Macaca mulatta: one gene and its partners. The protein of the gene in region 1 purifies or fractionates together with the protein of each later gene. This does not show direct contact. Links are inferred from orthologs where the notes say so. Each region holds a gene or a part of one and is shown in the gene's direction. Other genes may lie near its edges.

Region 1 (10,665 bases):
GGAAAAAAAAAATTCCATGCTTATGGATAGGAAGAATCAGTATCATGAAAATGGCCATCCTCTCCAAAGTAATTTATAGATTCAATGCTATTCCCATCAAGCTACCATTGACTTTCTTCACAGAACTAGAAAAAACTACTTTAGATTTCATATGGAACCAAAAACGAGCCCATATAGCCAAGACAATCCTAAGCAAAAGAACAAAGCTGGAGGCATCACGCTACCTGACCTCAAACTATACTACAAGGCTACAGTAACCAAAACAGCATGGTACCGATACCAACACAGATATATAGACCAATGGAACAGAACAGAGGCCTCAGAAATAACACCACACAACTACAACCATCTGATCTTTGGCAAACCTGACAAAAACAAGCAATGGGGAAAGGATTCCCTATTTAATAAATGGTGTTGGGAAAACTGGCTAACCATATGCAGAAAACAGAAACTGGGCCCCTTCCTCATGCCTTAAACAAAAATTAACTCAAGATAGGTTAAAGACTGAAACATAACACCCAAAACCATAAAAACCCTAGAAGAAAACCTAGGCAATATCATTCAGGACATAGGCATGGGCGATGACTTCATGACTAAAACACCAAAAGCAATTTCAACCAAAGTCAAAATTGGCAAATGGGATCTAATTAAATTAAAGAGCTTCTGCTCAGCAAAAGACACTATCAGAGTGAACAGGCAACCTACAGAATAGGAGAAAATTTTTGCAATATATCCAGCTGACAAAGGGCTAATCTCCAGAATCTAAAAGGAACTTAAACAAATTTACAAGGAAAAAAGAAAAAGAAAAAACCCCATCAAAAAGTGGGCAAAGGATATGAACAGACACTTCTCAAAAGAAGACATTTATACCTGGTGCAGTGGCTCACGCCTGTAATCCCAGCACTTTGGGAGGCTGAGGTGGGCAGATCATGAGGTCAGGAGATCGAGACCATCCTGGCTAACACCGTGAAACCCGGTCTCTACTAAAAATACAAAAAAAAAAAAAAAAAAAAATTAGCCGGGCATGGTGGTGGGCGCCTGTAGTCCCAGCTACTCTGGAGGCTGAGGGAGGAGAATGGTGTGAACCCAGGAGGCAGAGCTTGCAGTGAGCCGAGATCTCACCACTGCTCTCCAACCTGGGGGACAGTGCGAGACTCCAACTCAAAAAAAAAAAAAAAAAAGAAAAAGAAAAGAAAAGAAGACATTTATGGGGCCAACAAACATTAAAAAAAAAAAAAAAGCCTCATCACCACTGGTCATTAGAAAAATGCAAATCAAAACCACAAGGAGATACCATCTCATGCCAGTTAGAATGGCAATCATTAAAAAGTCAGGAAACAACAGATGCTGGCAAGGATGTGAAGAAATAGGAACGCTTTTACACTGTTGGTGGGAGTGTAAATTAGTTCAGCCATTGTGTAAGACAGTGTGGTGATTCCTCAAGGATCTAGAACCAGAAATTGCATTTGACCCAGCAATCCCATTACTGGGTATATACCCAAAGGATTATAAATCATTCTACTATAAAGACACATGCACATGTATGTTTATTGCAGCACTATTTACAATAGCAAATATTTGGAACCAACCCACATGCCCATCAGTGACAGACTGGATAAAGAAAATGTGGCACATATACACCATGGAATACTATGGAGCCATAAAAAAGAATGACTTCACCTGGACAAAGTGGCTCATGCCTATGATCCCCAGGACTTTGGGAGGCTGAGGCAGCCAGATCACCTGAGGTTGGGAGTTTGAGACCAGTCTGACCAACATGGAGAAACCCTGTCTCTATTAAAAATACAAATGCCTGTAATCCTAACTACCTGGGAGGCTGAGGCAGGAGAATCGCTTGAACCTAGGAGGCAGAGGTTGCAGTAAGCTGAGATTGCGCCATTGCACTCCAGCCTGGGCAACAAGAGTGAAACTCTTGTCTCCAAAAAAAAAAAAAAAGAAGAATGAGTTCATGTCCTTTGCAGGGACATGGATGAAGCTAGAAACCATCATCCTCAGCAAACTAACACAAGAACAGAAAACCCAACACCAAATGTTCTCACTCATAAGTGGGAGTTGAACAATAAGAATGCATGGACACAGGGAGGGGAACATCTCACACTGGGGCCTGTCGGCAGGTGGTGGGCAGGGGGAGGGACAGCATTAGGACAAATACCCAATGCATGTGGGGCTTAAAACCTAGATGATGGGTTCATAGGTGCAGCAAACCACCATGGCACATGTATACCTATGTAACAAACCTACATGTTCTGCACATGTATCCCAGAACTTAAAGTAAAATAAAAGTAAAAATAATGAATGATTCCCTAGGTTTAAATAAGGTTTTCCTAAGGTATTGGTTTACTCTTAATGAAATTAAAGGAACTTTTGCTTTTTAATTCTATCACCTATTTCTTTTCAAAACTTCTCAGATTCATATCTTAGACGTTCAACTTTTGTTGTGCCTGCTGTTTTCAGCTTTTTCCTCCCTTTGAAAAGGACTCTTCAACTTTTTCCATCAGCTCCTCTAATTTTTTCCTCTGATTCCAACTGTTGGGGCCTGATGCTGAAATGTTTTATCTTAGAATTCTATAAAAGCATTGTTTTCCTCCAATATAACTTGATTCTGTACTCTTGGCTTTTCTTGATAAGTGTGATTTTCATTGTAATCAGAAAACTTCTGACACAATTGCTCAGAGTGGTGTATTCCCTTGCTGTACTCATAATCGTGAATACGCTCTTGTGTCTGATTAAATTCAAGCACTTTTTTCAAGTCTGACTTTCAGGTTATCTGCATGGTCTTCCCATAAGGAGAAGCAGTCACACAGCAGAAGGGGTTTTTTGCCTGTGTAGTAACTTGCTTAAGAAACAAGATTTTTATGTTTTATCAAGATAATTCCCATGCTCTCTTTAACTGGTTTTTAATTGCCTAGAAAAACTGAGAGTTAAAAGGGTTCGGGTTTTTATGTGCAGGTAACCTTCTGAATTGCCTTTAAAGTCTTTAATTATCAGTTTGGTTAAATGAGTAACCATTTAACCAAATTTATTAATAAAAATAAATACATTATTTTTACAATGAATATTATCCTGTTTTGATCAAATGTTTTGAGACTTTTGAAATCTTTGACAGATGTCCTCAAAATCAAAATCATAAATTAAGTCTCTGACTTATTGCTAGGGTTTATCAAAGCTATAAAAGTTACTCACTGCAAGGTTGTAAAATCTTTTTACAGCTTTCAGTCAGGTCATAGACTCCAGTATCACACCTCCAGCTCCTTGAAAAGGTCCTTATCAGGTGATATTAACTAATCCTTGTGCTTTCAAGTTACAGGGCTTTACACATATCTCATCCAAAGAAGGCACCAACTCCTGCCAGTATCTGACACTAAACTGCAGTTAACCAAAGCCTCATCTTTAGACTCAGGCAAAGGCGACAAAGTAAACTGCTTTCATGAGACACAGGGACAGTCTTGTGTTCAAAAATATTAAGATTCACTTAACAATTTTGCCTCTATCTGAACTAATGTAATGTATTCTGTGCCTTGATAGTAAATAATTTAAGTGTTTAGCTCCGTATGAACTTTCTTTCCTGTTACTCTCAAAACTAGGCAGGGTTTATGACCTTTGTGTTTGAAAAGTTGTTAATTCTTTCTGTTTTGTTTTACCTACAATAGTTGAAACTCTTCAATCCCCTCAGGCCTAGAGACTATAACATAATGTTGTAAGGGCCAGTATTGAGGGCTAAAATCAGTTCAGACCCTACAAATCAAGGATGACACACAGATGCCAAAACAGCTGAACAAAATGCTTGCATTTCATATAGCTAATTGCAGCAAGCCAAGATTACAGCAGCTCAATGCATAGAATTTATAGATAAGTCAATTTTGTAACCTTGCCTTTTGGTTTTTGGTTTTTGGCTCTTAACATTGCTTAAGAGGAGTTTTAAGGTTAATGAGTGCCTGCCCACCTCCTTCCCCATCTGGCCTAGAATGTTTAATTGGCTGTAACTCTTTTGACTCTAAGTCGGTTGGCCGCAGGAGTGACATGATGGACTCAGGGCAGGTAGCACACCACCCTGGCATTGATATGGGACAAAATTAAAGTTTGGACACTGATACTGTCTCTGGGATACGTTGACAAAAAAAAAAAAAAAAAAAAGCGGAATGCTGTTTTGAAGGCATGAGTGTAGCCATTCCCCATCTGCGAGCGTTTGATTAGTAAAACTGCTTTCCTTTCATCATCAGTCACTTCTCATGATTTTGGCCTCTAGGCAACAAACAGCCAGACGTGAGCCAGTTGTAATAGCAGCATTATTTACAATAGCAAAAGGCGGAAGCAACCCAACTGTCCAGCGGATGAATGGATAAACAAAACGTGGCATATACATATTATTCAGCCTTAAAAAGGAAGAACATTCTAACATATGCTACTGTGTGGATGAAACTCGTGGACATTACGCTAAGTGAAACAAGGCAGTTATATGAATATAAATGCTGTATGATTTCACTCACGTCAGGTACCCAGAATAGTCAGATTTGTAGAGACAAAGTAGAATGGTGGTTGCCAGGGGCTGGGGATAAGGAAGAATGAGGAGTTATTGTTTAAAGAGTGCAGAACTTCAGTACTGCAAGACGAAGGAGTTCTAGAAATGGATGCTGATGGTGGCTGTATAACCATATGAATATACTACTGAACTGTACACTTAAAAATGGCTGAGATATTAAATTTTATGTGCATTTTGCCACAATTTTTTAAAACTTAAATGAAAGTAGGCCAGGCGCAGTGGTTCACACCAACACTTTGGGAGGCCGAGGCAGGCAGATCACTTGAGGTCAGGAGTTCAAAACCAGCCTGGCCAACATGTGAAACCCCGTTTCTACTAAAAATAGAAAAATTAGCCGGCATGGTGGTGCATGCCTGTAATCCCAGCTACTCGGGAGGCTGAGGCAGGAGAATCGCTTGAACCCGGGAGCCATAGGTTGCAGTGAGCCAAGATCGCGCCACTGCACTGCAGTCTGGGCGACAAGAGCAAGATACCAAGATACCGTCTCAAAAACGAAAAAAAATAAATAAAAATTAAATGAAAATAAAAAGAAAATAACTGTGACTGAATAACAATCCACATCAATGAAAACCAGTGGGGAAAGGAGACCTTCCTTCTGCCCAGCTCATCATGGCCTGACCACCAGGCTGTGGCAACTGGAAACCAAGAGCGTGGTAAGGGCAGGTCTGGGGCTCCGCGTCAGGCAGGACTGCAAGGAAGCCACAGGTAAAAGCGGGTGAACCCGCAAAATAGGGTGCCACTGCGCAGGCGCCTCTTGCGTCTGCCAAGACACCTTTTAAACGTGCCCGGAAGTGACGCCAGTAATGCTGAGACAGACTCCCAGAAGATCTGAGCGAGTCGCGTAGCTGAGCCCGGCAGGGGCTGGGGTTGTGCTGCTGCTATGAGCTGCACCATCGAGAAGATCCTGACAGACGCCAAGACGCTTCTGGAGAGGCTGCGGGAGCACGATGCGGCTGCCGAGTCGCTGGTGGATCAGTCGGCAGCGCTGCACCGGCGGGTAGCCGCTATGCGGGAGGCGGGGACAGCGCTTCCGGACCAGGTCAGGCAGAGGGTAGGAGTCCAGTGCTCTCGGATTCTGGGCACTGAAGGGTGGAGAGCGAGGTAAAGTGGGAACTCGGCCTGAAATTTATTCCCGGTCTCAGAGGGCGGCGGTGAGACCTTTTTCCTGGGTCGGAGCTGAGAATCCTGCCCTAGAGCCCTGACTTCTGCCACTTGAGTTGCATCTGCCGCTGTTCTCTTTAAGGCATGCTTAGACTGTCTCTATTTGTCCAGTATCAAGAGGATGCATCCGATATGAAGGACATGTCCAAATACAAACCTCACATTCTGCTGTCTCAAGAGAACACACAGATTAGAGACTTGCAACAGGAAAACAGAGGTTAGTCAGGCCTTTTCATATCTGGTAATAGTTTAAAGTTACTGCAAAATTGCCCTAAACATTCACAAGGGTGTGCATCTATTTCCAGGTCAGTACTTTTCGTAGGAGAGTCCTCCTGTGCTGGCTCAGTAACAGTAAAGTTTGTTAGATTACCCATTTCAAGGTCATCTGACTGATTTTGTAGCAGCTTACCAAAGAGGGGCTATGTAGAGTTAGAATTATTGCATGGTTTATTTTTAAGCATCTCCAGATGTGTAACAAAAGAGTTCATATCCTCATGGACTTAAAATTTAATGTTTAAATATTAATATAAACACTGAAGGTAAGATTTAAGGTTTTGTTTATGTTCTTGTTTGTGCAAGGTGAAGCAGCAGAATTTTACTCTAAGGGTATATATTCTTAGGCTTGATTAGTACATTATTAATGACTGTAGTATTAATAGTTGTTTACCAGAGGGGTTTCACATATATCATTCTACTGTATTCTCATATCTTCATTTTTATCTATCACAATGCTGTTAAGAAATAGGCTCAGAGAAGCTAAATGATTTACTTATGAGTATTAACCAAGCAAGTTACAGAACTGAACTCAAATCCATGTCTTCTGATGACATATCCGTTGTTGTTACTGCAAGATTTTGCTTCTCTGCCTAGAAAGTTACCTTTAACATAGACTTTAACTGCTCAGTTTTGTAGACTGAAACATTGATTTACAACCTTGGATTCATATTATCTCTATAGTATTGCAAAATTCTAACTGTTAAGACTTTGGATTTGGGAACTGTCTCTCAGACATCACTGCCAAGTTATTTTATTTTTTGACAGAGCTGTGGATTTCCTTGGAGGAACACCAGGATGCTTTGGAGCTCATCATGAGCAAGTACCGGAAACAGATGTTACAGTTAATGGTTGCTAAAAAAGCTGTGGATGCCGAACCAGTCCTGAAAGCTCACCAGTCTCACTCTGCAGTAAGAAACTTCGAATAAATTTGAAATGAACCAAATTGAAATCTTGAGATTGTTTTAGATTGTGTGCTTGTTTTTTTGCTTTTTGAGACAGGGTCTGGCTCTGTCGACCAGGCTGTGGTGTAATGGCACGATCTCAGCTCACTGCAACCTCTGCCTTCTGGGGTCAAGCCATCCTCTCACCTCTGCCTCCTGAGCAGCTGGGACTACAGGTGCACACCACCATGCCCTGTTAATTTTTGTGGGGTTTTTTATTATTATTATTATTATTTTTTTTTTTTTTTGTAGAGATGAGGTTTCGCCATGTTGCCCAGGCTGGTCTGAAACTCCTGGGCTCAAGCGATCAACCCACGTTAGCCTTCCAAAGTGCTGGGATTATAGGCATGAGCCACTGTGACTGGCCATGTGTGCTTGTTTTTGAAGAAAAGTAAGCTTGTTTTCCTTTCATGTTTATCATATTTGTTGTTTATTTTGCCATGGCTTTGTAAAGATATGAATAGAAAGAAGGATAGTGGTTGCTCAGGTCCTTTTATTTGAATGGGACTAACGTTCCCCCTCCCTCACCAAGATCTCTTTTGAAAATGTTCATTAATTCTTAGCCCTCACACCAAACGTAATGTCAGTTAGTGTTGAAGGTGCCCAGTAAATACTTGGTTGGTTATTATACATTTCACTTAAGCTCCTTGGTTGTGAGGCACTTGAATTCACATTTTATTCCTAACATAGTACCTGACATATAGCAAGCAGTCAATAAACCTTTTATAAACTGAACCACATAGCATCATACTATGTTATTAGGGGATAGAAGTATGGTTTTTAAAAAAAACAAACATGGCATAGTTTCTATGCTTTGATTGCTTATTATCTAATTTGGGAGACTCGGTAATTGTTCTTATGTTTGTAGGTGCTTCATGGTTGTCATTGTACATTCGTGTGTACTGTGTCATTTAATTCTAGATGTATAAGTTGGAGCCTACTACTTCTGTGAGATGTAGTGAAATATAAGCTTCATCTTAAATTACATTGAATGCATTTTACTGACTTAAAAGTTTTAGGAAACAGATATTTTAAATATTTGAATGGCTTTCAACTGGAAGAGAAAAATAGATTTTATTTATTCTCATATGGAGGAAAAAACCTGAACTTTGAAAGAGACAGTTTACTCAGATAGATAAACTTTCTAAGTGATATGTCCAAAGATAGAATAAGGCACCTTGGAATGTAGTAAGCTTCCTGCCAGTGAAAGTATTCAAATTTAAGTTAAACAGCCACTTAGAGGTAGTATCCAACATCCAATGGGTAGTTAAACTACAACTGATTTTTTTTTCCGTTTCAAATATTTTTATTGGAGGGTGGACCTATTGGGTGATTGATGCACTGGACATAGATAATTTTCAGAAATGAAAATAACATTGCTTGCATCAGATCAGATTTCACCCACAGAAATGACTAAGGCCTTATCAGAGTTGGCATTGGATGAAAACTTAATCCTTTATGGAAAGGGAATCATCTGGCCTTCTATTTCTGAAATAGACTAAAGATTACTCATTTATTCTCTGCAATTACAGCCATCAGATCCTTTGAAATCTTGGAAGGTGTGAGAAGATAACATGACTGTAACACAAATCCATATCGAAGAGCCCAGTATTTAAAAATTCCCCATGTTCACATACTGAAGGGTTACTTATGAGCTGATGCATATCACTGATAACCATAGGATTATCAACTTGATGTCTGGGCAAAGAGTGAAAACAGAAAATGCATTCTACTCTTCACTTCTTGGTTTTAAATATAAGAAACATTATATATTTGTTTAAAAACTGTATCCCTGGCCAGGCGCGGTGGCTCAAGCCTGTAATCCCAGCACTTTGGGAGGCCGAGACGGGCGGATCACGAGGTCAGGAGATCGAGACCATCCTGGCTAACACGGTGAAACCCCGTCTCTGCTAAAAATACAAGAAAATTAGCCGGGCGAGGTGGCGGGCGCCTGTAGTCCCAGCTACTCGGGAGGCTGAGGCAGGAGAATGGCGTGAACCCGGGAGGCGGAGCTTGCAGTGAGCCGAGATCGCGCCACTGCACTCCAGCCTGGGGCACAGAGCAAGACTCCGTCTCAAAAAATAAAAAATAAAAAAATAAAAACTGTATCCCTTAGTAATGGTATCAATAGAACATATACAACTGGAATGAGGATCCCCTTAAGGAGGCCTTCTTTTTTTTATTTAAGTTCTAGGGTACATGTGCAAAACGTGCAGGTTTGTTACATATGTATACATGTGCCATGATGGTGTGCTGCACCCATTAACTCGTCATTTACATTAGATATTCCTCCTAATGCTATCCCTCCCCACTCTCCCCACCCTACGACAGGCCCCAGTGTGTGATGTTCCCCACCCTGTGTCCAAGTGTTCTCATTGTTCATTTCCCACCTATGAGTGAGAATATGTGGTGTTTGGTTTTCTGTCCTTGCGATAGTTTTCTCAGAATGATGGTTTCCAGCTTCATCCATGTCCCTACAAAGGACATGAACTCATCATTTTTTATGGCTGCATAGTATTCCATGGTGTATATGTGCCACATTTTCTTAATCTAGTCTATCATTGATGGATATTTGGGTTGGTTCCAAGTCATTGCTATTGTGAATAGTGCCGCAATAAACATATGTGTGCATGTGTCTTTATAGTAGCATGATTTATAATCCTTTGGGTATATATCCAGTAGTGGGATGGCTGGGTGAAATGGTATTTCTAGTTGTGGATCCTTGAGGAATCGCCACACTGTCTTGCACAATTGATTTTTTGGAAAAAAAAAAATTATCTGTGAATACCACAAGATCACTTTACTATGGCTTTATGTCTAAGGACTAAAATTATAGTGAAACTCCATTGTAACTTCTGTATCATAGATTAAATGAACTTTTAAAAATCATAATGCACACACTTTTATGTTCTTTATATATAGAGAACAGGTGACTTTTCCACCTTTGTTTCCTTAATATCTTCACAGGAAATTGAGAGTCAGATTGACAGAATCTGCGAAATGGGAGAAGTGATGAGGAGAGCAGTTCAGGTGGATGATGACCAGTTTTGTAAGATTCAGGAAAAATTAGCCCAATTAGAGGTAAGATTGTAGCTATTTTAGGTTCACAGTATTTCAGAGTTTTCGGAGTCTGGAAGATATGCCATCACTATCCCATCACTGTAATATATTAATGTTTTCTGTGTGCTCATGATTTAAAATTAAAACTCCTCCTTCATACTCTTTGATATCCTTTTGAAGAAAGGAAATATAGTAAACAGCAATCAGTGGAAATACCAACTATGTATTGGCAATAACTTGAGATATTATAATGGGAAGGTAGAGGGAGTAGAGGGGAGAAGTTATATGTGAGATAAAATCCTTCATCTGCCATAATAAGTGAAGTAGATAATGTCTAAAATTAATGATCAGGAAATAGCAGTATAAGCATATTATTTAGAATTACAGAATTAAATACCAAAAGAAATAGATAAAAGTGTTAAAACTGGTTGCATTTGGGTTACAAAGCCAAAGAACTGCTTGTATAAGCCTTGTAGTCTTGATTTCTTAAAAGCTATGTTAGGTCATATTTTGATTAAAATAGGAATATTTTAATATTCCTATTTTAAGGGAGCACAAAAAAGGGTTTGGGGCATTAGTGTGCTCATAAAATTGTTAAGGATTTCAACTTTCGGAGGCTGAGGTGAGTGAATTGCTTGAGCCCAAGAGTTCAAGAGCAGCCTGGGC
Region 2 (10,601 bases), about 4.7 Mb from region 1:
ACACAGTATATTACATAATACTTTGACTTAATCTTTTTTTTAGTTTTCAGTTTAGAGACAGGGTCTTGCTCTTTCTCCCAGGCTGGAGTGCAATGGCAGGATCATACCTCATTGCAGCCCAGAACTCCTGGTCTCAAGCGATTCTCTCACCTCAGACTCCTGAGCAGCTGGGATGACAGGCACACCACAATGCCTCTAATTTTATAATTTTTTTGTAGAGATCAGGTCTCGCTATGTTGCCCAGGCTGGTCTTAAACTCATGATCTCAAGTGATCTTTCCACTTTGGCCTACCAAAGTGCTATGATTACAGGCATAAGCTACCATGACCAGCCTTGACGTAGTCTTTTGACTAATTCATGTTGTATGTAAGAAAGCTGAGATGTTATAAATTAATCTGACCTGAGACAGAGTGAAGCTGGCTGGTCCCTTTGGAAGACAGAATTAACTATTAGTTATTTGCCTTATTAATTAACCAAAACATTATTAATATTATCCTCTTCTGATAGCCATTAATGGAGAGAACTCCATGTGACACAGTAACTAGAGGGTAAGACCAGACCCATAAATGTTTTATATGCTATATAGATTACTTTAATATTGAGCATTTCAGTGACTAGCAATGTATTGTCCAGGGCTAGGATGGAAATTGCTAGAAACAGGCTCACTCTGCCTCCCAGCATATACTTAGGTATCAATGAATGTGAAACATGTTACCGAGTACCTGACACGCTGTAGGCACAGAATACATGCCAATTTCCTTCTACAGAGCCCACCTGGAGCAGCCACTATATTCCTGCAGCTCCTGCAATACTAGAATGGCTCAAATATGAAATTTCTTCCTCCAGTCTCTTGAACAATGACTGCTCGTGGTGAAGGAAGGGCTTCTCACCTTGGTTATCACCTCTTGGTAATAATTCTCCTTTATTAAAACAAACAAACAAAAACAAATAATGCTTTATAGTTTTCTTTTTTCTTTTCTTTTTTTTTTTTGGAGGCACAGTCTTCCTCTGTCACCCAGGTTGGAGTGCAGTGGTGCAGTCTCGGCTCACTGCAGCCTCTGCCTCCCAGGTTCAAGCTATTTTCCTGCCTCAGCCTCCTGAGTAGCTGGGATTTCAGGCGCCTGCCACCATGGCTCAAAATGTTACAGGAAAGAGTCTCAATCCAGACCCCAAGAGAGGGCTCTTAGATCTCTCACAAGAAAGAATTCAGGGAGTCCATAGCGTAATGTGAAAGCAAGTTTATTATGAAAGTCAAAGTATAAAAGAATGGCTGCTCCATAGGCAGAGCAGCCCCGAGGGCTGCTGGTTGCCCATTTTTATGCTTATTTCTTGATTATATGCTAAACAAGGGGTGGGTTATTCATGCCTCCCCTTTGTAGACCATCTGGGATAACTTCCTGGTGTTGCCATGGCATTTGTAAACTGTCATGGTGCTGGTGGGAGTGTAAAAGCGAGGAGGACTAGCTGTCACTCTCATCGCCATGTTGATTTTGGTGGGTTTGGGCCGGCTTCTTTACTGCAAACTGTTTTATCAGCAGGATCTTTATGACGTGTATCTTGTGCTGACCTCTATCTCATCCTGTGACTAAGAATGCCCTAATCTCCTGGGAATGCAGCCCAGTAGCTCTCAGCCTCGTTTTACCCAGCCCCTATTCAAGATGGAGTTGCCCTGGTTCACACACCTCCGACAAAAAGGCAAGTGGGATTATTCTCATTTTACAGATGGGGAAGGAAAAAAGAGAAATGCATGAAGACACTTTACAACTTCTACTCTCTACTGGGTTGTGCTTCTCTCAAAGTTTCCTAGCAAGTTGGAGTAGTGAGCTCTCCAGCTGTGCTTCTGCTCCTTCACATTTGGGATTCTTTTTCCTTCCAGATCTGTATACTCTGTCTTATGCATGCCCCATTCCATTAGTTAGCCATTTCTTTTTCAAAAATTTTTAAATTTGATTTTTTTTTTTGGCGGGGGGTAGGGTACAGATAGGGTCTCGCTCTGTTGCCCAGGCTGGTCTCAAATTCCTGGGCTCAAACGATCCTCCCACTTCAACTTCTCAAAGTGCTGAGCTTACAGGCGTGAGCCATGTGCCTGGCCTCTCAAAGTTAACCATTTTCTTATTGGCTATTTCTCAAATTAGGTTAATCGCAGCTTTACACTATTGAAAACACCATTGCCTGGAATATTATTGTACACCTATCTTTATTTAAATCTGATTATTTCCTTAGAATCTATTACTAGAAGTGGAATTATTGAACCAAAACCTTCCCTGTTCTAAATTTAGCTGAAACATGTTTTTCCCCAGGTGACACAGCTTATGATAGGCACAGGAAGATAGATAGGAGGAAATAGCAGTGTGGTAGTTTTGGATTATTTATTAATTTACAACAGAGACTTTTTAAGCACCTACTAGGTTGGACCTCAGGGGAAATCCCTGGAGAGTTGTATCACAGGGACTTTCTGGACTTGAGCCTGGGGTGTAGAGCAGGCAATATGTAAAGCTGGAGAGACAAAGATAGATAAAATGCCTTTAAGGATTTCACAGTATAACAACAGATAATGGTAAGAGCTATTATCACACAACACTTCTAAGATGTCTGATGAGTATCTCGAACTTGATGTGTCCAAAACTGAAGTCTTGATCTTTCCTCTAAACCTGTTTTTCTTACTCTTGGGCTTACTTATTTATTAAAGTGATACAGCCATCCACTCAGTTGCCCAAACCTAGATCTAGGGGGTCATTGTTTATTCCCCCCACCCAGCTGATCAGATTCCAGCAAATCCTGTCCCCCTACCTACACAAAATAGAAATATCAACCCAACGCTCCACTCTGGTGCAAGTACCATCATCTCCATCTACATGGTCCCCTAACTTGTCTTGCCTTATCCACTCTTGCAACTCTCCAATCCCTTCTCCAAAAGCAGCCAGATTGAACTTGTAAACATCACACCATAACATCTCCGTGGTTAACACCCTCGAATGGTTTTCCATTTCACTTAGAATAAAATTCAAACTCCTTCCCACTACCTTCAAGGCCCTGCATTCTTCTGGTCCCTGCATTATCATTATATGGCTCTCATCAACTACTATCCCTCCCTTGGCTCACTCAATTCCAGACACTCTTAACATCAGGGCTTTTGCATTTAGCCGTTTCCTCTGTCTGTGTGCCCTTCCTGGAACTTTGCAGGGCTTCTCCTCACTTCTTTCAGAACTCTTCTAAAATCACACCCTCAGGCCTTCCCTGGGCAGCATGCTTGTATTATAGCCACATTCTCCGCTTCCACCAACCCGTCCCCCGCCCCACTGCCACCTTTTAACCTCTTAATTTTTGTTTCTTCTAACAAAGATTCTCTTCTTTGGCCAAAACTCTAGTCAGGCTCCTGTTAGTCCTCTGCCTGACTAGGCCTAACCCTTTGGGCTTCCCTTTCTGTCCTTGTTGAATCCAGTTTGTGCAAGAACTCTCCACTCTTGGCGTCCTAGTCCATTTTTTGTTGCTATAACAATACCAAAGAGGGTAATTTATAAAGGAAGGAAAGTTATTTTTTGCAGTTCTGGAGTCTGGGGAGCCTAAAGTCGAGGGGTTGCTTCTGGTGAGGGCTTTCTTAAACTGCATGGTAGACAGCCTCTCACGATGAGAGAGCAAGAGCATGTGTGCCAGCTCAGATCACTCGTCTTCTTCTTACAAAGCCACCAGTCCCATCACAGGGGCCCTACCCTGATGATTTTATCTAATCCTAGTTACCCCGTCAAGGCTCCACCTCCAAATACTATCAATATATGAACTTTAGGATTGAGTTTCCAACGTATGGAATTTGGGGGACACAGTCAAACCATAGCACTCGGTATCTGACCACCCTCAACATCTTAGCACCCTGTCCTGCTTTCAGCAATAATCCTGTTAGGTCAGTTTAGCAAGAAACTTCTTATCCTTGATGTTTCTCTTAGTAGTTTTTGTCAGGCCTCTGAGCCCAAGCCAAGCCATCGCATCCCCTGTGACTTGCACATATACGCCCAGATGGCCTGAAGTAACTGAAGAATCACAAAAAACGTGAAAAAGGCCCTGCCCCGCCTTAACTGATGACATTCCACCCCAAAAGAAGTGAAAATGGCCGGTCCTTGCCTTGAGCGATGACATTATCTTGTGCCTGGCTCATCCTGGCTCAAAAAGCTCCCCCACTGAGCACCTTTTGACTCCCACTCCTGCCCGCCAGAGAACCCCCCTTTGACTGCAATTTTCCTTTACCTACCCAAATCCTGTAAAACGGCCCCACCCTTATCTCCCTTCGATGACTCTCTTTTCAGACTCAGCCCGCCTGCACCCAGGTGAAATAAACAGCCATGTTGCTCAGACAAAGCCTGTTTGGTGGTCTCTTCACACGGTCGGGCATGACAGTTTTCCATCCACTGACCCTCATCCTGCTCTTTGGTTATAAATCTCCACTGTTTCTTGTTGGAGTCAGAGTTGAGTCTAATTCCTCTTCTTCACTGCAAGGTCTGGTTGTAGTGGTCCCTGTAACTATCACCATGGGCTCTCTTACACAAAGTCTGCCTTACCATCTTTAATTAGTGCCGTGAACAAATTTTCCTTTAACACTTTTCAGCATTTATTTCTCTGCATTTGTCTATTGTTTGTCTGACTCACCAAGCACTGTTATGTACCATGACTGCAGACACTTGTTCCTCATTTTATCCCACTGCTTGGTGCACAGGAGACATTTATCAAATGTTTGTTGAATGATTAGCACTTGTCACAACTGCAACTCTGTGAACTAGCATCCTATCCATTTTGTTCATTACAAAATTCCGCCTAAGCCTTGAACAAGGCTATCAGTGATAAGTGCAAAGCAATTTAGAGGAAGGAGGGGTAACTAAACCGAAGAAGCTCAGGGAAGCCTCACAGATAAAATTACTTCTAAACTGAAACTGAAAGTTAGGAGGAAAACTAAAAAGATCAACAACGGAAGGGCTGCAGACAGAATATCGCGAGGTGTTGGTCAGCCAAGATGGCTTCTGACACTGGCCGCCACACTTAATATGGCGGCCAGGGAAATTTTCTCGAGAAAATCACGCGAGACTTGCATCACGGCGGTTGTCCCCGAGTCAACCTGGGGGTGTGGAGCAGCCAAGATGGAGCCGGCAGCCGGCGGTCCGGGCCCGCTGATCGTGAACAACAAGCAGCCCCAGCCTCCGCCACCTCCGCCGCCGGCAACCGCACAGCCACCACCCGGGGCACCGCGGGCCGGCGCGGGCCTCCTTCCTGGGGGCAAAGCCCGGGAGTTCAACCGCAACCAGCGCAAAGACTCGGAGGTCAGGAGCTTCGGGGGGCGAGGCTCGCACCCGGGCGGGCGGCGTCGGGGGTCCCGGGCCCGAAGCCACTGTCGGGACCAGGTTGGGCTTCCCAGAGGGCTCGGTAGAGCCCGGCCGAGAACTGTCAGTATACAGCGAAAGGAGCAGGAAGCGAGGCTCGCAGCTCCTGGGGTCGAGGGCATGAAGCTGGGGTCCTTGCTAGAGCTCCGCCGCCCGGGAGACCTTCCGGGAGCCGGCAACTGCTGGTTTGCTCCCTTGGGCCCCGGCTGTGGGCGTGGCCTCGAGGCCCCAGCCCCTGGGGAAGCCGCCTTCGCGCCAGCTCGGGGCCGAGGAGTCGGGGGTCTGGGTGCACTCCAGGGCGCTGGGCGGCCGCGTCCCCAACCTAATCATCTCGGGCCTCTGCCCCTGGCACGCGGGCGCCAGCTCCTGGGTCCTGCCGCGTACAGAGGAAGGCGCTTGTGGGCAGGAAAGGTACCGGCGAGGATCTAGAAGGCAGTTAGAGCCGGACCGAGCTAATTATCACTGAGAGTATTGCGCTGCCGTAGGTTCCGAGAGTAGGAGGAGGAAACATGCCCTGTTCTGACCTGAGCCAGATCAGGCCGTGGGGTTGACAGTGCCTGTGGTGGGTGTTGTGCCCAGTGCGCCTGCTACTGAACTGTTAAAGATGAGAAATAGACATTTTAAGCATTCGTTAGGACCCAGCATTCATTCGTCTCGCCAGTGAGCCGTTCCTGCCGTTCTGGAGATGGCATAGTCTGTAGCTGACTAGTAACCTCACCCCAAGTTAAAGAATTCCTCCCACTACCTCCCTTTGCAGAATTCATGAATGAAGATACTCATGTCACGGCGTTTTAGGGCTTCTTAATCAGCAGGTTCCCAGAGCACTTACTATGCCATCTCCTAGATTGATCAGCAGCCAACCTGATCAGCCAAGTTAATGAGAGGGAATTCCTCATTGTCCAACCATAATGTACCAATTCATACCGAAGAGCGATGATACTATCTTTAGACCTGTGAAATCAGTTCCTCAGAAGCTTTTATTTTTTGTTAGCAAGCCTAAACCCCTGAGAAAACATGTCAACAGTTGGCAAGCCCGAAGTAGACGTAATTTGAGCTTGGAGTGAATTCTTTGAAAAAACAATGACACTGACCTTTTAGGAGCCCTTGCATGGTGGGATGATGGACATCAGTGGTAACTACTCAGTTTTTCAAGTGTGGAAGTTTACAAAAGTGGAGGGGGGTGAACCTACCTTCATCATGAGAGGAGTTATTTTGAAAAATGGTTTAAAATTTGTCTGAGTAGCTATGAATGGTCAAATAAATACCCTTTGACGAATTTTTAATTTCTCTTTTTACCCTTTAATTTCCACATAGCGGACGGGTCCAGTGGCTCAGGCCTGTAATCCCAGCACTTGGGGAGGCCGAGGCGGGCGGATCACCTGAGGTCAGGAGTTCCAGACCAGCCTGGCCAATGTGGTGAAACCCCATCTCTACTAAAAGTACAAAAATTACCCAGGCGTGGTGGCAGGAGCCTGAGACAGGAGAATTGCTTGAACTTAGGAGGCGGAGGTTTGCAGTGAGCCGAGATTGCACCATTGCACTCTAGCCTAGGTGACAAGACTGAAACTCTCCCCGTCTCAAAAAAAAAAAAATTTCCACATAGACTGATTACATGAAAGACCAGTCAAATAGACACATTTAAGCAGAGACCTGTCTAAATCCATTTCTTTAGAGAGGCTGCCGGGCGCGGTGGCTCAAGCCTGTAATCCCAGCACTTTGGGGGGCCGAGACGGGCGGATCACGAGGTCAGGAGATCGAGACCATCCTGGCTAACACAGTGAAACCCCGTCTCTACTAAAAAAATACAAAAAACTAGCCGGGCGTGGTGGCGGGCACCTGTAGTCCCAGCTACTCAGGAGGCTAAGGCAGGAGAATGGCCTAAACCCGGGAGGCGCAGCTTGCAGTGAGCTGAGATCCGGCCACTGCACTCCAGCCTGGGCGACAGAGCGAGACTCCGTCTCAAAAAAAAAAAAAAAAAAAAAGAGAGGCTGATGCCGTGATCTTTCTTTAGTCATAGCCGAAATCGGTAGTTTGGGAGCCTGATCAGTGAATGCCTGGAGGAGAGGGAGGCTGACATTTGATGAGAGCTCACTGTGTACTACATAATTTTGATTAGTCCTTAAAAATCTTCAGAGTAGATTTTCATCATTGCCATTCAATGAGTGAAGAAACTGAAGCTCAATAACTTGTCAAAGTGTACACTGTGTTGTCTCTGAACACAATGTGGAGTTCTTGTTTGTGGGTATGTTTTTTGTTTTGCTTTGTTTTGTTTTGAGACAGAATCTCCCTCTGTCTCCCAAGCTGGAGTGTAGTGGCGTGATCTTGGCTCACTGCAACCTCTACCTATGGGGCTCAAGCGATTCTCCTGCCTTAGCCTCCCCAGTAGCTGGGACTACAGGCACGACCCACCATGCCTGGCTAATTTTTATGTTTTTATTAGAGATGGGGTTTTACCATGTTGGCCAGGCTGGTTTCAAACTCCTGACCTCAAATGACCCGCCCACCTCAGCCTCCCAAAGTGCTAGAATTACAGGCGTGAGCCACCTCGTCTGGCCATTTGTGGGTATGTCATTTTGTGGCTGGTCTTTGTCTTCCCAGGTAGATTGTAATTAAACCTAAGGACTTTACCTATTTGTTTCTCACTTCTCTCTTCCCAGTACAAGCCTTCCAAGATGGTGTGTTCTCAGTAATCACCTATTTCCAACAGGAAAAAGACTGTCTTTGTCACATTCTCTCTTATATGTGGGAGGGAAGTTGATCTGTTTGGCGGTGGCCTTCTTTGTCAGTTCTCACTGAAATTTGAGACAAAGGCGGGGAAAGCTGAGGGTTTCAATACTCATTTTTGTCCTGAGCTGTTGACAGCTCACTAGCCAGAAAGAAGTTAAGACTTCTGGAATCTTAGCATCACATGGAATGGTCATTTACTGCACAAAATACATAGAAACCTTGTATTTGTTCATTTAACAAATATGTGAGTATAAACCATTCATTCATTCACTTATTCATGCCAAATACTATGCTGGACCTTGTGAAATCATTGGTAAGCTAAATGGATGATGTTCTTGTTCTCAGGGAACTTGCAGTCTTGTGGAAAGGCAGACACTAAACACATCCTATAATGATAAGTTATGATAAGTGCTCTGAAGGAGAGGTATAGGATACTCTGAGAGGTTTTAGGAAACAAAATGTGAAAAAACATCAGAAAAGTGGAGGCACTGGTGTCCTGTAACAACAGCATCTCGAAGCATGTGTTTCTTTGACAAACAGCATGATCCTTTTTCCTAAAGCTCTCTCCTCTTGTCAGCAGGGCTATTCGGAGTCACCAGACCTGGAGTTTGAGTATGCTGACACAGACAAGTGGGCTGCAGAGCTCTCGGGTAAGGCAGGGACCTTTGTGTTATTTGGGGGTAGTTTTTTCCTTATTGGTCTTTAAGAAAATTAAGAATGAATATCATTTAGGGCTTCATTGCTTTCCCTAGTTAGTTCTATCAGATAGATATATGTATGTGTATATATATGTGTATATGTGTATATATGTAAATATAGTGCATATATGTATACGTATATATGTGTATATATGCATATATGTGTGTATATATGTATATGTGTGTATATATGTATGTGTGTATATGTATATGTGTATGTATATATGTATATATATGACACGTTAGTTATTTGATTCAAGCCTTGTGTATCTTATAACTTTGTGTTGTCCTTTACTTTTATGAAGCTGACTAGAGCCCAGTCCCATTGTGAGACAGTGATGTTCCTTGGCTATCCACTGTGACCCTGATAGTGGTCTCTCCTCCAGCAATGGGTCATGAGGGATGCCTGCATCTGTGCCCATCTGCTGCTGCCACTGCCACTCTCATGTAATGCGAGGTCGGTGTAAGCTGCTTCTCCAGCCTCTGTAATACATGTCCTGCTCAAGAGGTAGCAGCCACTTGAGAGGCGCATCCCAGGTGGCCGTCAGCCCTGGCATGGCATGGTGGGATGGATGCACATCGGACAGGAAGTGTCCAGATGGCATTCTGGCACTCTGGTTCTCTCTATTGTGCACATTAGAGAACTAAGATCCCCTTCATAATTAGAGAGCTTATTCCAGGAGTCACTATGACTCAGGGCCAGAGTTGAGAGTGGAAGCAAATGCCTTGCCTTCTCTGCACATGTGAGACTTGGTGTGCAATGCAGACATGGAACCAATGGTGATGAGACTTTGTTCCAACAGAGCTTTACAGCTACACGGAAGGGCCAGAATTCCTGATGAATCGAAAATGCTTTGAGGAGGACTTCCGGATCCATGGTGAGATGATTTCCCCCACTTCTTGCTTCCTTTGCCCTGCATGATGAGAGCTGCAGGTTTCTTTTAGGCATCTGAATGACCTGAGTCATCCTTGAACGGCCTGAGAAGCCTGCTGAACCCTGATGGTTCAAAGCCAGATACATGTAGAGTGGGCTTGTGGCACATCCTTGGGGGCTTTTCAGAATGTGCAGATTGGGGGAGAAAAAAAAATTCATGTGATTAAAATTGCGCCCAAAATACCAGCGTTTCAGTTTGGAAATCAAATTCATAGGGCAGCAGTATGATCTTACCACTTACATAGGGGGTAACTTGTCTTTCTGGTCCTATGGCAGTCCTGAAATTGGTGAGTTAACATGGGTCCATGCCATTGTGAATATTTTTCTAGGCTCAGGTGTAACTGGTTTCTTGCCCTGCAGTGACAGACAAGAAGTGGACTGAGCTGGACACCAACCAGCACCGGACCCATGCCATGAGGCTCCTGGATGGCTTGGAAGTCACTGCCAGGGAGAAGAGACTTAAGGTGGCTCGAGCAATTCTCTATGTTGCTCAAGGTATTGAGTGGACCTCCCCAGGATTCCCTAGCACCTCTGCCCACTCAGATGCAGGGAGGGGCTCAGTGAACTGAACCCTGTGTTGCAGGCACGTTTGGGGAGTGCAGCTCGGAGGCAGAGGTGCAGTCCTGGATGCGCTACAACATCTTTCTCCTCCTGGAGGTGGGCACGTTCAATGCTCTGGTGGAGCTTCTGAACATGGAAATAGAGTGAGCATTTTTGAGAGGCTGAGTAGGGAAGGGGAGGCTGGGGTGGGAAGGGGGACACAGCTTGCAGAACTAACTGGCTTTGAGAGGGTTAAATGGGCCACATGGGGCAGAAAGTCTGGTCCCAGGCTGTATTCTGACCACCTGGGTTGAATAATGGAGTTGGTCACTTACACCT
Region 3 (10,106 bases), on another chromosome or scaffold:
GTCTCAACTGCAAGACCCCGAGGGGTCAGGCTCACCTTTGTCTCTCCAGAGCCCAGCACAGTGTGGGGACTTGTTGGGCGAGTGTGGAGACTCCGCCCAGCAGAGGAAGGGGAGAGGTCCCGGCTGGAGCCCAGGCTCTGAGGGCATTCCTGCCAGGGTCATCTGGGTGGAAGGGAGGGGGCCTCAAGCCCTGGGTGTCAGTGTCTGCATGACTGCTGGATGGATGCAAAGACACTGAGGCGGCTCCCCCCAACCCCAGCTGTCTGACAGCAAAGATGCTTTTAAGAAGACATGGAACCCCAAGTTCACCCTGCGCTCGCACTACGATGGCATTCGTTCCCTGGCCTTCCACCACAGCCAGTCGGCTCTGCTCACCGCCTCCGAGGACGGCACGCTCAAGCTCTGGAACCTGCAGAAGGCGGTCACAGCCAAGAAGTGAGGGCAGCAAACTCGGCCGCGGGTAGGGGCATCTAGGGATGGGAGTGACAGGGTCTCAGTGACATCAGGCTCCTCTATCATCCCACAGGAATGCGGCTCTAGACGTGGAACCTATCCATGCTTTCCGGGCTCACAGGTAAGGAGGTGCCCCTGAGCCTGCTAGAAATTTCGTCCTAAACGCAGCCTGACCCCTGACCCACTCACTGCCATCCCGGGAGGCACATGGCAGGAGGCAGAACAGCAGGGGCTCTGAGTCCCCGCGCCCCTCCATGATATACACAGCCCTGGCTCCTGGGGCTCCATGCTGACTTTCACATACCCTGGCAGCTGGTGCTCAGCACAGCCCTTCAGGGGAGGAGATGGAGGTGGGCTGGGGGAGGGCAGGGGACAGGTAGCTTGTCCAGCTAGCATGGCCAGAGCCCCAGTCACTGAATTCCTTTTGGCCATCCTTGAAGAATGCTAGTAGGAAACTTTGGTCCTGTGGCCAGGGGAGGCTCTGAGCTTGTCTCATCCCCCTTTCCATATCTTTGTCCCTTCCAGGGGCCCAGTGTTGGCTGTGGCCATGGGCAGCAACAGTGAGTACTGCTACAGTGGAGGGGCAGATGCCTGTATCCACAGTTGGAAGATTCCAGACCTCAGCATGGATCCCTACGATGGCTATGGTGAGGACAACGCCGCCTGCCTTCCCCTCACATCCGCTGGGGCCTGGCCGTCCCCTCCACGCACGCACACGTCACGTCCACTTCTTGCCCAACACTGCAGGCCTCGGGAGTGCATGTGATGGCTGCCCCGTCTGCTGTGTTGTGAGCAGCACGATGTAGTGCGTGGCTGAGGGACGAGCCAGCCAGGCTGGGAACGATGGCTGTGGGAGGGGGTGGTGAAGCTGCCTGAGAATCATGTGAGGTGGTGTCCAGAAGGCAGAGCTGGGACCGCCCAGGCTGGGAGCAGCCCATGCACAGGCGTGGCTGGCCCTGGCAGCCTCTGCTCTGCCATGCCGTGTGCTCTGTGTGTGGGGATCCACGAGCGTCTCTGCGTGGTTAGGGGGAGGGCATGTCCAGAGAAAGCAGAGAAGGTGGAGTTAGCTGGGCCAGGCTGGAGGGAGTTGGGGCTTTCTCTTTGGAGCATCTAAGACCTAAGTAGGGAAGTGACCAGACTGTCACTCCTGTTCAACATCTGTCCTCCTGCTCTCTGCCACAATTTTTTTTTTTTTTTTTTTTTTGAGACAGAGTCTCGCTTTATCGCCCAGGCTGGAATGCAGTGGTGTGATCTTGGCTTACCTCAACCTCTGCCTCCTGGGTTCAAGTGATTCTCGTGCCTCAGCCTCCTCAGTAGCTGGAATTACAGGCATGCACCACCGTATCCAGCTATTTTTTGTATTTTTGGTAGAGACGGGGTTTCATCATGTTGACCAGGCTGGTCTCGAACTCCTGACCTCAGGTGATCCACCTGCCTTGGCCTCCCAAAGTGCTGGGATTACAGGCGTGAGCCACTGCACCCGGCTCTGCCTCCTCTTGATCATGTACCTGGCCCTGTGCTCGACCTTGTCCGGACAGAGTTCAGAGGTCTTTGTGTCCTCTCAAGGAGAGGACAGACTTTAGAGAACAGGCTCACCTGCATAAGGTCAGGGTCGGTCCCAGCCACATTAACCACCACACTTTCAGTGTCAGCAGGCCAGAGCTGCTGGTGTGGACTCCAGCGACCAGGGAAGCAGTGGTTGGACCTCTGAATGACCAAGGGGCTTTGGAGAGACCAGGCAAACTCATGCACTGGGTCACGGGCTGAAAAGACTGCTTGGGCCAGGGCTGGGACCAACGCTTGGCCAGCACAGGCCGTGTGCCACTCCTGGGACCACAGAACCATACTGTTCCTTCTTCCTTAATGGAGTCCAAAAAATTCTGTATTGAGTTCTCAGTTTCTGGGCCCTGCTTGGGGAGACAGCCATGAATAGAGGGAAATCCCTGCCTTCTGGAGCCCTAGAACCTTCCTTGGAAAGCTAGTGGGCAGTGTGAGCAGCTGCCGGGCTGTCCTGGTGGTGGACAGTTCCAAGGGGCAGCAGGTGTGAAGCGGGTGCATGGGTGATTGGAGCCCAGCCGCCTGGGGCTTGGCAGAGCTGGGGCTCTGGGCTGTCCAGGGAGGAGCTGACATCCCTGACACAGCCCATTTCCTCCCTGTGGTGGGTGCAGACCCAAGCGTGCTGAGCCACGTCTTGGAGGGCCACGGGGATGCCGTGTGGGGCCTGGCCTTCAGTCCCGCTTCCCAGCGCCTGGCCTCCTGCTCCGCCGACGGCACCGTCCGCATCTGGGACCCCAGCAGCAGCAGCCCGGCCTGCCTCTGCACCTTCCCCACAGCCAGCGGTGAGTGGGGCCCTGAGTGGGGGCCCCAGCACCTTACCCTGGAGCTATGCAGGGCTGGAGGCTATCAGAGTGGTTCCCGCTGAGGCCCCAGGCCTCCCACCCACAGTCTCCCACCCTGGGGCAGGGCTGGGTCTGAGGGTCCGTTCAGCCTTCTCTTCCCTGTGCCCTCAGAGCACGGGGTCCCAACCTCAGTGGCCTTCACCAGCACCGACCCTGCCCACATCGTGGCCTCCTTCCGCTCTGGCGACACTGTCTTGTATGACCTGGAGGCTGGTGGTGCCCTCCTCACGCTGGAGTCCCGGGGCAGCAGCGGTAAGGGGGCTGACATCAGCTCAGGGAGTTGGTCTCAGTGTCTTGCGGGCCCCACTTCCTCCTGGGGCTTTGGTGACCCCTTGCCAGTCAGCTCAGATGACTCCCCTGCACCCTTGGGCCCTGAGCAGGAAGGAAGTCGGGTCCCAGTGGAGGGCCCCCCGCCCTCACAGCCAGAGCACTGGGGGGGCCGAGTGGGGAGAGTGTGTCAAGGCCACTTCGTCAGGCCCTCTTGGTAGAGTGGCGGAATGTGTTCATGTTTGTTATTCCTCTTCCCCCAGCCCCAAAACAGGGCCCAGGGGCTGCTTGTGCAGAACCAGCACTGCGGTCAGGGATGGGAGTGCCCTCGCCCAGTCCCCCTCGACATCCAGGCAGAGGCTGCCGTGGGGCTGTCACGCTGCACTCATGCCTCTGTTCCAGTCTTCCTGATTTTCCCCTTGACAGCCTTCCCTCTTCCTGCCTTTTCCTTCAGGTCCAACCCAGATCAACCAAGTGGTGAGTCATCCAAACCAGCCTCTCACTATCACCGCCCACGACGACAGGGGCATCCGCTTCCTGGACAATCGGACAGGTGAGGCCTAGCCCCTTGTGCTCGCGGTGGGTGGGGAGGGCCAAAGGCAGGCAGCAGAGATGCTTGTGTCCCTGTGGGAGGCTCTGGGAGCGTCTCCTCCAGTCCTTCCATTCTCTCAGTCGAGGCTCAGAGTGGGAGGGAAACCTGCCACCCGCCCCTCTCGCCTCAGGTAAGCTGGTGCACTCCATGGTTGCACACCTGGACGCAGTCACCTGCCTAGCCGTGGACCCCAATGGCGCATTCCTGATGTCAGGAAGTAAGTTGGGCACACTAGTTGCACCAGGGTTGGGGAGAAGGGGAGGAAGAGGCCTGGGCACTGGCTCCAGGCAAGTGTTCAGTGGGCCCGGGGGCCAGGGCTGGGGGAAGCTGGTCTGGGCAGGAATGACAGTGGTGACCATAGAGGGCAGGGGGCAGCTGGTCTGGGCGGGAATGACAGTGATGACCATAGCGGGCAGCACAGCCCACTGGGGCACTCCTCTGGGGCACTGGAGCTGCATCGTCTTATTCGGCCACTAAGCAGCCTGTGCGGTTGGTACTTTGATCCCCAGTTTACAGATGTGGGCCCTGACGCCCTGACGCTTTGTAACTTGGCCATTGAAGCTTCGTAACATCAGTCCAGGTCTACCTGGGGGTACCTGCAGGGACTTCTGTGCTCCCACCCTGCTGTCTGTGGATAAGGGCATTGAGGCCAGCAACGCGGCTGTGCTTAGAAGGGATGGAATGGGACGTAGGTGGGTGGAGGAGACTGGAGGTCGCTGTGGGGTGAAGGGTGAGGCCTGCAGTGAGTGCAGCAGTGAGTGTGTGTGTGCACAGAGGCGCAGGCTGTGGTGTTGGAGGCTGTGGCTGGGCTTTGCCTCTGGGCCTGTGCTGGCAGCCTCTGGTGGGTGAGGGGCCGGTCAGTGAACTCCAGCCCAGTGCCCAGACAGGGCTCTGTTCTGGGGGCCACTAGACAGTGGAGGGAGCTAAGCCTTTGCCCTGCCTGATCCTCTTGACCCTAAATCAGACCTCTCCTCACCAGGGCCCTACCCAGCCTGCTGTCCTCTCCCCTCTTCTCCCCAAGCCCCTGCTCAGGCTCTTGTGGCCACCCCCGCCTCCTGCCTCAGGACCTTTCCCACCTGTCCTTTTGCCTGGAAGGCTCCCTGCATTCCTCCTGGGGCCATTCTGTCCTCACACTGAGCGGCTGGGTTGCTTTCTTCTTTCTCTTCCTGTCTCCCAGCTGCAGCGTCAAGGCTGCGGGACAGAGAGAGTTGCCTGTTTTGTTCACTGCCCGCCCCTCCGCCCCGGGGCTCAGTGTGCAGTAGCTGCTCAGGAAATGCTGGGGAACGAGATGGACTGTGGACAGGAAGGGACCAGGGTTCTCCTTTGGGTGGGCCTCAGGAGGTGATGAACAGAGGATGAGAGAGGAGAGTTGAGCCCCACTTCCCCTGAGGCCTTTGGACAAGGCCAGGTGAGGGGTTCCAGGACTGCGTCTGAGTGAGGAGCCCGGTGACCACCCCTTCTGCCCCCGACCCCTGCTCAGGCCATGACTGCTCCCTGCGTCTTTGGAGCCTGGACAACAAAACGTGCGTGCAGGAGATCACAGCCCACCGCAAGAAGCATGAGGAGGCCATCCACGCCGTCGCCTGCCACCCCAGCAAGGCCCTCATTGCCAGTGCTGGCGCCGACGCCCTGGCCAAGGTCTTCGTATGATGCCCACCTGGCCCTGCCCTGGCCGCCACACTGGCTAGGGTGCGGGGCCGGGCAGGTGGGGCTGAGGTGAGGGCAGAAACCCCGCAACCTGAGTCCCTACACATCCATGCCTGGTACTCCTGAGTGTGCTGAGCCCCGCAGTCCAGTCAGGCGTCCTGTGAGAATCACTGGGGAAGTCCTGGGCATGCAGGGGAGGGGCTGAGGCCTGAGAGGTGCCCTAGAGACGGTGGCTCAGTCTCCTCTCCCTTCTCTCTCCCGCAGGGGACTCCCAGCCTCACTGGAGGTGCAGAGGCCTGGCCTCTGTTTGCCGTGGAGCCTGGTGGTGCTAACGGCCCTTTCCCCAGGAATCCCTCCCCCAGGGCTGCCTTCCCCAAGCATTTAGCCTGGGGATGGGCCCCTTTCAGGAATCACCCCTGAGGATGGCCTCGGGGTTTCCCCCTGTGCCCTGACAGCCACTCCTGGTATCAGAGCTGCCTTCCAGAGGGCAGCACAGCCAGGCTGGGTGTCTTTAGGGATCACTTTTTCCAAGACTCCAGAAGGTGCCAGGTTCTCCCCCTTGAGCTCCTGCTGCCCCATCCCCCATCCTCCCAGACCTGGGCAGGAGCTGTGCTGGGAGAAAGGGTGGCAGCCGGAAGCCTCGGAGCTGAGCCCCGGCCTGGCTGCCCCTCCCCTCTGGCCCTCTCCACTGCTTTCCAGACACTAACCATGGCCTCCAGGCCAGGGATTGCCCAAGACTCCTAGGGCAGCCCTCCCAGCGCCCCACGGGGTCGCCCATGGGCAGAGATGGCTTTCTTATGCCCCTCCCTGGGGCATGGAGGGTGGAGGGGGCCCCTGGGTCCCCCTGAACTCCCTGTATATCTGTATAAATAACGGGATTTTCATGGCGCTGCCCCACCCACGTTATCACTGTGTGATGGTCTCAGTCAGTCTCCTCCCTGCCTCCACTCTTTCCTCTATTTATTTCACTCTTGTTTGGTTCTACCGTGCACTCTCGGTCCCCTTCCAGGTTCCTGTTTATAACCCCTATCCCCTCTGCCCCCATCTTGTATGTGAAAACTTGTCTCAATAAACCCTTTGGAGTAAGATGGGTGACGGTGCCATCTGTTGAGGGGACTGGGGACTTTGGGGGAGGAGTGACCGGCTCTGCCTGGGTTGAGTGGAGTTTGGAGAGAGGGGATATGATGGGTTGGGGTTTTGTGGTAGGGCAGCAGGGGACGGAGAGGGGCCCAGAGCTTGGGTGGGGTGTGGGTGGAGAGCAGAAGTGGAGGCACTGGACCGAATCTCCTTGTGCCCTTTCTTTCTGTCCCTAAGTGCTCCCTCCCCAGGGGCAGAGCCCTGGGGAGCAGATACTGTGATGACAGTTCAGCTGAAGCCTCAGCCCTGCCTGGGATGTGTGATGGGTGGTGGTGAGGCCAAAGGGCTGGTGCCCAGAGGACATAAACCCCCTTCCTGTTTCCCTCCCAGGCCCACAAGGAGCAGGGAGGGAAAGGCTGCTCCTGCCAGTGGAGAAGGATGGCTTTGGCACACAGGCCGAAGGCTCCTCCATGCTAGGAGGAGGTGCTGCAGGTGCCCGAGCTCTCGTGGCGCATGTCCTGATGAGTCCCTCCTTTCTGTTCTCAGTAGTCCATGTCTACTGTGCTGAGCGCTTTACATGGCATTTCACTGGGTCCACAGCCTTAAAAAGAGGGAACAGGTGTCCACATGCTCCAGATGAGATGGAGGGGACCGCCGCTCCTGTCTCCAGGAGGAGGCTTCCACCACCTACCAGCTAGGCGTCCTCAGCTGTCCTAGCACCTCTGCCACAGGCCACTAATGCCCTCTTCCTGGGTTGTAAAGGGCTGTGTCCCCAGTCCCCCAGCAGGCCCCAGTGAACATACCAGAAAGGATGGAGGTCGCTGTCTGGACACTGGGGACATGGCAGCGTTTTGCTGGGACAGTCATCTCCCCCTCAGGAAAAAGGGTGCAGGTGGGCAGGAGGCCCTTAGGTGACGCCAACAGGAGCCTGCGTGGGCTCCACGTGGTGTGCTCCCTGCTCATCCCTCTGGGCTCGATGCAGTTCCCCAGGTGGTGGTTTGGGTTTTCACTCCAGCCTCAGACTTCCTTCCTCAGCCCCAGTCCCCGGATGTGGTGACAGAATCGATACTGTACCGACCTCAGCTACCCCCAACGGCCCTACACCAGGAAGAGGGGCTCTTCTGGCAGCCCCCATCCTCAGCCAGTCCTGCCATTTCCAGTCCTGCCAGCATCCCAGCCAGACAGGTGGCCCCTCTCTTAGAGCTCAAACCGAGGCCTTGACTTGTCAATCAAAGGGGTGGGTGGGGCAGCTTCCCTCAAGCAACTTCACTCTGGGATCTTGGGCAAGATCTCTGAGGCTTCAGCTTACTCTGTGTAAACACAGCTTACTCTGTGTAAACTACATGGTAGCCACTATTTGATGATTAGCTGGGGAGAAGAGATCAAGCCTGACCCCTGTAGCGGCTGGAGTTTTACGGCAGGGTCCATCCAGCACCCAGTAGGTCCTCACAGATACTTGCTGGGTGACTAAATGGACGTGCCCACCCATCAAAGCCTGAGTGCTGGAGGTGGCCACCCTTTTCCGCATATTAGAGACAATCACCGCTTCTACTGAACTGCTGCGTTTCCAGGCACCTGTATACAATCGCATCGGTTCCCACCATCCCATGTGGGGTAAGTCCTATTACAGTCCCAACAGATGGAGGGACTGAGGTTCACAGAGAAGCCACTCACCTAAAGTCACATGGAGAGAAAGACACGCACACGTACTCCACATCCCCAGGAGACTCACTCTGCATCTATGAAGTGGTATGGGTGTGCTGTCCTCCCTCCTGGCAGCCCCGCACCGTCCTAAGGCGGGGTTGGGGTGGGGGGGGATGGACCCTCCCCACCCATCCAGTTAGCGCCATGCACCTTGCCCAGCAACGCTGGAGACAGACCTAAGGCGAGCCCTTCCTACCCATCTGGAGACCTTGGTCTTTCCATGTGTTAAATGGGCTGGGGCGGGGGGACGCTCTGCAGCACCCCCTTCCCTGGGCTGGGACGCGGCGGGGAGGGCTGGGGCGACGCTCGGAGAACAGAGAGGCCGAGCCAAGGGAGCGGGCCGGGACCTGACCCTGATTTCCCACCCTGTCCACTGTCATGGGCGCCGGACGCCTGCCGGAGAGGGCTCCCCTCCTTAAAGGGCCAATGGTCTCCAAGCCCGACGCCCGCGACCGGCGGTGGGTGACAGTGTTTCCCCTCCCTGTCCAGTCGAGGGAAAAGTTAACTCTCCAGGCTTGGCTGTGTTCAGGGAAGGAACTGGTCTCGCCTGCCTGCCCTCCATCTCTCACACCATCCCAGGTCCCCGACCCAGGAGGCGGAGGTCCAACCCCCAACTCAGAGGCACCAAGCCCGCCCTCCCCTTCCGCCCCCGGCCCCTGGGTAGGCTCCGCCCCCTCGTGACGTTGCCGAGGCCCGCGCCGATTGGTCGACTGCGCCGTCGCTCCGGACACTTCCTCCTGGGCCGCCGCCGCCGACTTAAACTTTGGAGGGGGAAAAAGAGCTACTGGCTCCTGGCGACCCTCCCTGCCCCCCACCCTACCCCGCCGCCGGCAACGCCCCCTTCCTCACGGCTCCCGACCGAACTTTTCTCCAACTTCTGCGATTCGTGAGATTCCCTTCTACCCACTCCGGCCCTCGGGACCCCTCTGCCCATCCCCGGGCCAGTCGGGTCCCTGCTAACCCCTTTATTTCTGGGATCCACTTGGTCCCCGACTCAGAGACTCCTGCCTCCACCCTCAAGGTGAATTCCCCCGGGCCGCCTTCTGAGTGGGATCCTCTTCTTGGAGCACTGGTTCCTGGGATTCCCTCTGTCCCCTTCTCAATCCGTCCTCTAGGGAAGGGGCCTTTGAATCGCGGGCTCTCCTGATCCCTGTGACCCTTACCTACTAGATTTCCTCTTGGGCTTCTTGGAATCTCTCAATCGCTGGGACCTCCAAACCACTACTTTTCTCCTTTCTGCTCTGCTGGGAGTCCTGGATTCCGGGCCTCTGACCCGCTACAGTGCCTTTCTCTCCTTCCCAGGACCCCGCCATCCTCAGGTCCCCTCCACCTGCCAGATCTTTTCTTGGATCCCCGCGCTCCCACCACCTGCTCACGAGATCCCGCGGATCTAGGACCCAGGGTCCCCCGGGGCCCCCCGGCCGGGTCCCGGGTGGGCGCCAGGCGGCCGGTCCCTGGCTTCCCCCCATGGCCGCCGCCCCCTCTTTTCCCGCCGGGCTCCCTGGCTCTCCCGGGCCGGGGTCTCCTCCGCCCCCCGGCGGCCTAGAGCTGCAGTCGCCGCCAGCGCTACTGCCCCAGGTCCCGGCCCCGGGCTCCGGGGTCTCCTTTCACATCCAGATCGGGCTGACCCGCGAGTTCGTGCTGTTGCCCGCCGCCTCCGAGCTGGCTCATGTGAAGCAGCTGGCCTGTTCCATCGTGGACCAGAAGGTGAGGGCGCGGGCTCCCTCGATGCAGCTCGGGGAGAGATTGAAGGAGGGGGCGCTGGCAGGGGGGTCTGGGGCCTGGTGTGCGGAAGAGGGGGGAAGGGGACCTGAGCATTGGGTGATGGAGGGATAGGGGACATTGCCCCCCTCCATTGCCCCTCTCCCCACCATCCCTTTGAGAGAGGACTGGGCAGGGGTGGGGTGCCCCAGAGGCCTCCCCAAATTTCATGTCCCTGCATGTTGTTGTTTTCTGCAGCAAACAGG

What was found.
Region 2: the proteins of SIKE1 (region 1) and STRIP1 purify together in Homo sapiens (affinity purification with mass spectrometry; 3 studies listed by BioGRID and IntAct, with this or other methods). This does not show direct contact. The link is inferred for Macaca mulatta from reciprocal best matches to the Homo sapiens genes SIKE1 and STRIP1.
Region 3: the proteins of SIKE1 (region 1) and STRN4 purify together in Homo sapiens (affinity purification with mass spectrometry; 3 studies listed by BioGRID and IntAct, with this or other methods). This does not show direct contact. The link is inferred for Macaca mulatta from reciprocal best matches to the Homo sapiens genes SIKE1 and STRN4.

Annotation. Positions count from the first base shown.
Region 1 is NC_133406.1:125,469,031-125,479,695, forward strand, and holds the start of SIKE1 (suppressor of IKBKE 1), read left to right. Parts: upstream 1-5,380; 5' UTR 5,381-5,441; coding exon 5,442-5,600; coding exon of another isoform or gene 5,601-5,612; intron 5,613-5,833; coding exon 5,834-5,939; intron 5,940-6,763; coding exon 6,764-6,906; intron 6,907-9,906; coding exon 9,907-10,020; intron 10,021-10,665.
Region 2 is NC_133406.1:130,157,289-130,167,889, reverse strand, and holds the start of STRIP1 (striatin-interacting protein 1), read left to right. Parts: upstream 1-5,109; 5' UTR 5,110-5,123; coding exon 5,124-5,303; intron 5,304-8,670; coding exon 8,671-8,740; intron 8,741-9,591; coding exon 9,592-9,666; intron 9,667-10,082; coding exon 10,083-10,217; intron 10,218-10,305; coding exon 10,306-10,426; intron 10,427-10,601. UniProt on the Homo sapiens protein: Plays a role in the regulation of cell morphology and cytoskeletal organization. Required in the cortical actin filament dynamics and cell shape. Part of the striatin-interacting phosphatase and kinase (STRIPAK) complexes.
Region 3 is NC_133424.1:59,195,569-59,205,674, reverse strand, and holds the end of STRN4 (striatin-4), read left to right. Parts: intron 1-259; coding exon 260-435; intron 436-526; coding exon 527-574; intron 575-978; coding exon 979-1,100; intron 1,101-2,621; coding exon 2,622-2,792; intron 2,793-2,963; coding exon 2,964-3,104; intron 3,105-3,573; coding exon 3,574-3,672; intron 3,673-3,841; coding exon 3,842-3,928; intron 3,929-5,191; coding exon 5,192-5,361; 3' UTR 5,362-5,427; intron 5,428-5,622; 3' UTR 5,623-6,444; downstream 6,445-10,106. Other genes in the region: PRKD2 (serine/threonine-protein kinase D2), read left to right, coding at 9,607-9,846. UniProt on the Homo sapiens protein: Calmodulin-binding scaffolding protein which is the center of the striatin-interacting phosphatase and kinase (STRIPAK) complexes.